2 linked regions of the Bombyx mori genome follow. The protein of the gene in region 1 interacts with the protein of each later gene in a pairwise test. Links are inferred from orthologs where the notes say so. Each region holds a gene or a part of one and is shown on either strand. Other genes may lie near its edges. The genes, in order: DNA-directed RNA polymerase III subunit RPC3 and DNA-directed RNA polymerase III subunit RPC7-like.

Region 1 (3,739 bases):
TCGGTGTGTGACTTTTCGTGGAAATGTGCCGAGAGAAATGACGTGTGATTTTTTTTTTATTGCTTAGATGGGTGGACAAGCTCATAGCCCAGCTGGTGTAAGGGGTTACCGGAGCCCATAGACATCTACAACGTAAACGCACCACCCACCTTGAGATATAAGTTCTAAGGTCTCAGTATAGTTACAACGACTGCCCCACCCTTCAAACCGAAACGCATTACTGCTTCACGGCAGAAATAGGCGGGGCGGTGGTACCTACCCGCGCGGACCCACAAGAGGTCCTACCACCAGTAAAAAAAAAGCAAAGTTTAACCTGAATATCCTGGCGGCCTTGTAGCCCAGTCTCTCCGTGACCAGCCCCTCCAGCAGCGCCAGCAGGCACCCCCGCGCCGCGCCCGCCCCCCGCACGCTGTACCCCCGCCCCCCCGCGTCCGCCCGCACCGTGCCGCACCCGCTCTCCTCTGTCACACGCAACGCACTCTTTTTTTTCCTGCCTAAGCTAATAAGTTTGAGAGGCTATGTCAGCGTAACGTAAGCGTGTTGCTAACATTAACCCTAGCAAGAGCAGTGCTTCGCAGAATCCACGACCAGATGGTAAACGCGACCCACTGAGAAGATCCAGCGAGAAACTCAGTGGGCTATGTCTATGGGTCAATTTACTCGCCGGGACCTACGTCACAAGCGACGGTTTCGACGAAAACGATGACAGGTGCTTGTGGTGCCTAAAAGCACCGATAATGGATCGGGAGGATCCGAAATGACGCGTCAGATTCACCATAATTCAATATTACTTCAACTCATAATTTATGAATTTTCAATTGTGCATATGTATGTGTATAAATATATATTTCACTGGATTAGTACACCGCACGTAAGGATCTTCTCAGCGGATCGCGATTCCGATCTGGTAGTAGATTCATCCGTGAAGCAGCTGCTCTTGAGTTGTTAGGTCTCCTTTGGAGGTGCTCGGGCAGCTGTTAGCAAATCCTACCCCTTCTGGCTGAGCCTTTGCTCGCCCACCCGTCCTGGTGAAACTGGCAAGGCCTCCAGGCCACCAGTAAATCTTCAATCATAAAAAAAAAATATTCGTTTCCAAATGAATCTTGTCTACCTGATGTTTGTCTGGAAGAGATCGCTCTTAGCGATAACACCTCCAATTGTACTTTTTTATTTAACGTATCGCATTGTTTTTTTTTTGGGTGCACACTAAAGAATACTCACTTACTCATAAAAAAACCTCACCTAAGACCTTCAGATATTGATCGAAATACTGATTCAAGAGGGGCTTGTCAGCAGCGGCCCGGAGACAAGCCTCCCTCAATTCCACGGCCGGCACTAGTGTAGACTCTGCAGCCCACGCCGGAGACGTCAGGTACATGTGTTGCAGCATATGACGAAGAAGCTCACCGGCTGGAGAAGAATACAAAATTCACAACTCATCAGAGGAACTCCAAAGATATCAGTCTGTCCGGCTATTCATATGACAGCAATGCTCGCCGCAAACCTCGTTTGAACAATGACATAAATGTTTGGTTGATGTTGATATATTTTTTTATTGCCCTTGTAGGCAGACAAGCATACGGCCCACCTGATGGTAAGTGGTTACCGTCGCCCATGGACTTCAGCAATGCCATGGGCAGAGCCAAGCCGCTGCCTACCGTTAAATACTCTCCACAAGCCTCCTTTGAAGAGTGACATGACAGTGACATAGTGCTCAGGAAACACCGTGGAGGGGAGCTTATTCCAAAGCCGGATGGTACGTGGCAAAAAAGATCTCTGGAAACGCAGTGGGTCCAGGTAATATGGATGAACTCTACTCCGGTGGCGGGCGGTGCGGTGGTAAAAACGAGATGATGGTATCATCTCAAACAATTCCACAGAGCACTCCCAGCCAGAGATAGCCAGTATTCTCAATTCCTAGGACACTGAAGGCAAATATCAAACCTGTAAAAGTCATAAACTTCTTAATTACAGTAGAGCGTCTTGTGAGCCCGCACAGGTAGGTACCATTCTGCCGCAAAGCAGAGAAAGCAATTGAGTCTTAATCTTCTTCATCCACATATGCAAAAACCAATCTTGGGTAGAACAAAAAAAAATTTCGATGACCTCTAGCATTGCTAACGTATCCCTGTGTCTGCCTCGAAAGACGTTTAAAAAAGAAAACAACATTCACCGTTTTCATCTATTCGTCTTGTGATTGCTTTGATCATAATTTCGTCGCGGATATCCTGATGGAACCTGTCGTAATTAACTTTCCAGTACACATCTGAAACAATAACATAAATATCTCAAATTCTTATTTAATAAATCAATATTGACCAATGGCCTACCAATCTGTCAAATATCTTATATTCAAACATTCATTCATGACTCATGTTGTGGTTTTTATATTGGGGTATCTATGATCATTTAAAATCAGGTAGACCATTAACCAGTCTGCCCAGCATGACCCATCAAAGCTCAACAATGCAGCCTCTCACATCATCTACACATTATAATATTCTTCTTCATTTGATTTGGAATTTGAATATCATTTTCAACAGAGACATCCATAGGTGATGCTCGGACTTATTATTAGGTGGAATGCCAGGCTTTCTTTGACAACAATATCACTAACTTTCGCAACGGTATCTCCAGTTCATATTCTGTTGTTCTACGAGCAGTATTCAATGGAAAATATAATTTGGATCGTGTTAAAATTACTCATTGAGTATCATGTTTAACAGTGACATACATAGGTGATGCTCGGACTTATTATTAGAGGGAATGCCGGGCTGTCTTTGACAACACTATTACTGGGTTTCGCAATGGCAACTCCAGTTCATACTCTGTTGTTCGACAAGCAAGATGATATTGAAATTACTCACTATCACTACTTTCAGCTAGATTTCCAGAATTCATAATTTTAATGACAGCTCGTACATCAATCTCTGGTGTTATAGTTGCGACGGGCACCAGTGTCGGTATCTCGCTGCCTTCCTTCAACTCAGCTACAGATGCCTGCTGTATGTAACCAGCGGTTATCAGACTTATAAAGATATCTTTTAGTTTCACTATAGTCATGTTCTTTTCCTGGTGAAGAAAGCAATATTTATCAGAATAGCTAAAAGAAATGAATACAAATAATTTGCCTAGTAATAAGGAACATTGTATAAATCAAAATATTTTGTGCTTATGGTTTTTTATTATTGCCCTTGTAGGCAGACGAGCATACGGCCCACCTGATGGTGAGTATGGTGAGTATGGTTATGGACGTCAGACAACTACTACCATAAATTTACGCATTATTAGATAACCATAGTAATTATAGTATGTGATATAATATATATTATATTGTAATGTAAAGTAATAAACATTTTGAGTAAAATGGGTTCTTTTTGGAATTCCAGATCTTAAAAGGATAAAAAGAAACCGTTATAGAATCATTTTGTTGTTTTTTTCTGTCTGTCTATCTGACAATGGATATCCGAATTTTTTTTGCATATTCCTGAAACTCAAATTTAAAGCAATGTAATAACAAGGATTTATTATTTATATTGTTAGAGTTATCATGTGCACTGGCCACAACTTAAATTAGGCTTTCTATAAGTTTTTCCTTCTACTATCTTATTTATCATATTAAATGTAAATTGTTCCTGCAAATAAACTGAGAATGCCAGATCTAAATATGCCACTTTAGTGGTGGTGCTTATAAAATGACTATGAACTAAGTACCTTGTCATCTTTATATTTAACAGCA
Region 2 (3,204 bases), on another chromosome or scaffold:
TAAAATAGGGGTAGTGACGCAAGAAACGTTTGGAGAGAAAGTAATCCCTACTGTCGAAACGGGTTCCGATTTTTAAAGATAATGCTATAATTTATAATTATAATATAAATTCTCGTCATCGCGAGATACATGAATCTGCTCGTCTATATATTGGCGCGTCTAACGTAGCCGACTGAAGAAACATTTAGATACCTACGCTTCTATTTTAGACACTATCCATAACTTTACAAAATAAGTTAAAAATATTGGAAAACAGCGTTCTCTGAGTGTTAAACAACCGTATTGCGATTGGTAATTGATATAAATTGGTTTATATTGACGTAATGTACAATCGCATTCTGAGTGTTTCTATCGCGTAGCTGTCCTGCATTCTAGTTTGAAGTGTGGACCAGCAGTACCAAAATGGGCCCTTAGACCTTTTGTCACCGACCGGGTGGTGATATTCACGTTGTGATGTCTTTGGGCTCAGGTAACTACTTAACGCTAAATTGACTGTAAGCACACACTCGTAGCGAATTGGATAATACCCTCTAAATCGGGCAAGATTTTTACCGCAGATAAATCGGTCTGTGTACAAATTTAACCATAATCCTATTGCAGTTACAGAGTATTGACTCAATCAATGGTAATAGAAGAATCTAAGATTGGTGGAAGAAATGTACAACTACAAAAAATTGTTTGGACTATGTACAAAGAATGAAAATTGAAACAGTATTAATAAATTGTATTTAACAACATATAAGAAAAATAAACTAATTTCTTTTCTCTATACTCATTTCGCTTTGGCAATCACTCGGCACCCGATCAGTAAAAAGTTCTGGTATCTATTCAACAAAAGAAAGTTACATGTTAATACATGAAAACTACAAGTGTCTATCGAAAATATATACATAAGAGTTTATTCCATACTTGTGGTGTATACGCTTCAACTCTATCCAGCAAAGAATCTGTGTAGCCGGGAGTATAATATCTGAAAATGAAAAATGTATAAAAGCCCACAGTTGAGATTTGAGTAGGACAAATTTTCTTTTAGTAGGTAGTCTTTTACCTTACTATTTCTTCAGGGAAGCAACTGTTTATGATATTAATATACTCCTTCAGGGACGTTCCGGGCACTGTTTCAATTTCTTGTATTCTTTTCAATGCTCCTGTTGTAACAAAAAGCCTTCTAGCTCTTGCATCGTTGGGTAGAATCTGAAAAAATAAAACGAACATAAATAATCTACTTCCTTATACTTTCATTATAATTTGTATAATAATTTCTGAACTGAACAGTTTTTCAGAAATTATGAAACTCCATGAAATTTAAATGGTACTTGCAAAAGACCCTAATAAGAAAAACATACACATTTCTTGGATTTAGCCTGCAAGAGAATGATTCGCACGTATATTTTGTTCTAATAAATGATGAACCTCATTACGAATTACTACGGTAATTGGTTCACGTTCTTCAAATGATGAAGGCAATATACATAGGCTTATTTCATGTCATCTCTAGTTTATTCTTATTTCACGCCATAGTCAATTTCAAATTATCAATAATTCTCATACTGCTGCATTTTACGTTTTGAAAAATAAATAAAGCCACGATTTTTTTTAACGTTGGCTGTATGAGCTACGTCTCTATTACCTGATTTATGAAAGAATTAAACGAAAAAACATCCGATTCAAAACAATAACAAATGAGTAGGGTACGTAGATACCATAGATTATACACTTAATATATTTGAGATAGGTAGATACCATCTGGAGTTTCAAATTTAAATAGATTAACTATCACCAAATTGTTTTCTGATCAAAAAATCGATTACAGTTACAATGGCAGGTAGAGGACGAGGACGCGGGGGTAGCGGTTTATCATTAACTACTGAGCAAATACAAGCCTTAGGTGTGACACGCGGCGACAATGCTCCTCCAACACTTGTGCCGCCACCACTGTTTCCAAAACTTGAGAAAAAACCACTACCTCTTATATGTGATGCCGCCACTGACTATATGCTCATTGTCAAAGATCAGTTCATTGAATATCTACACGAATCACCGGCATTTGTTAAAGTCAAAACAGAGACTGACGGTGTAGAGCGATATTCTGATAAGTACAAAATGTTAGCACTTGATGCGAAGCAGAATAAGTTATTGGATTGCGTGTGGGTTAACATGCCTACCGAATTACGGCCTCAAGCAAAACGTCCGCGTACTGTTCCGAGGAAAAGAAAACTCGATGATCCCGAAGAGATAGCAAAGAGATTACAAACGCTTGAAAAAAAAGAGACTCTGGAAACAGATGAGGCGATAGACGGCAAAAAAAAAGAATTAAACAACGAAAACGTAGATGAAGAAGAGGAGCTGGAAGATGAACATGAGCAAGAATACGAACTAGATGATGGTACTGACTATGCAAATAACTATTTTGATAACGGGGAAGATTATGAAGAAGAAGATGATAATTTGGATGATGGACCTGTTTACTAGGAAATATATATATACAAATTTATATTACACAGTTGAAACTGATTGATCTTGCATATTAAAAATAATTACAATTAACTGTTAATCAAATAGTTTTCACTTTTAATTTTTACTTTCAAATATTCTTTATTAGCAATTTGAAAAACAGTCCCGCCTGGTAGAACTCTTTAAAAAATAGAAATAAATGAATATTTCAGCGAAAGAAGTTTACTACTTAAGTAACTGCTACATCATATTTAAACGAATCAATCGTTAATCAATCGAAAAATCAATCATTACTGATTACTGGAGCACTGTTTCATTTGAAATAGTGTATTATTGTTATATTTGCCTAACTAGAATAATTACCTTTGCATACTGAGCTAGTACATATTTCAATATACAAGCAGGTGCAGAATGTAACAATGTCTCTAATGCAGGTCTATGTAGACAGCATTGTAATGCCTGTTTCAATGCACATGATGTCCGAGCTTGTACTTCTCCTGAAGACTTTGGGTTTGTGTAAAGCTGTAAAATTAAACTAACGATGTTTAATTTAAATATAATTTAAATATACTTTAAATATTGACATCTATCTACGTATATAAATGAAAAGATTATAAATGTGCTATTTGCACATGTATCAGACAAGTATTAAAGACTGATGACAATAATATAGTAATTTTATTACTTTGGCTTAATATTGTGATCAGAATTAGTACATCGAATAAAAAAAAAACGTTATGTCAATTTTAA

The links.
Region 2: the proteins of DNA-directed RNA polymerase III subunit RPC3 (region 1) and DNA-directed RNA polymerase III subunit RPC7-like interact in binary tests that used the Homo sapiens proteins (3 or more experiments, as listed by UniProt). The link is inferred for Bombyx mori from reciprocal best matches to the Homo sapiens genes POLR3C and POLR3GL.

What each region holds. Positions count from the first base shown.
Region 1 is NC_085120.1:9,121,453-9,125,191, forward strand, and holds part of DNA-directed RNA polymerase III subunit RPC3, read right to left. Parts: coding exon 3,715-3,739; intron 3,073-3,714; coding exon 2,868-3,072; intron 2,267-2,867; coding exon 2,174-2,266; intron 1,411-2,173; coding exon 1,243-1,410; intron 495-1,242; coding exon 314-494; intron 1-313. UniProt on the Homo sapiens protein: DNA-dependent RNA polymerase catalyzes the transcription of DNA into RNA using the four ribonucleoside triphosphates as substrates.
Region 2 is NC_085117.1:13,528,589-13,531,792, forward strand, and holds DNA-directed RNA polymerase III subunit RPC7-like, read left to right. Parts: upstream 1-1,537; 5' UTR 1,538-1,691; exon of another isoform or gene 1,692-1,813; 5' UTR 1,814-1,818; coding exon 1,819-2,472; 3' UTR 2,473-2,559; downstream 2,560-3,204. Other genes in the region: uncharacterized protein LOC105842656, read left to right, coding at 601-700; sperm-associated antigen 6, read right to left, coding at 753-824, 910-970, 1,049-1,194, 2,818-2,976. UniProt on the Homo sapiens protein: DNA-dependent RNA polymerase catalyzes the transcription of DNA into RNA using the four ribonucleoside triphosphates as substrates. Specific peripheric component of RNA polymerase III which synthesizes small RNAs, such as 5S rRNA and tRNAs.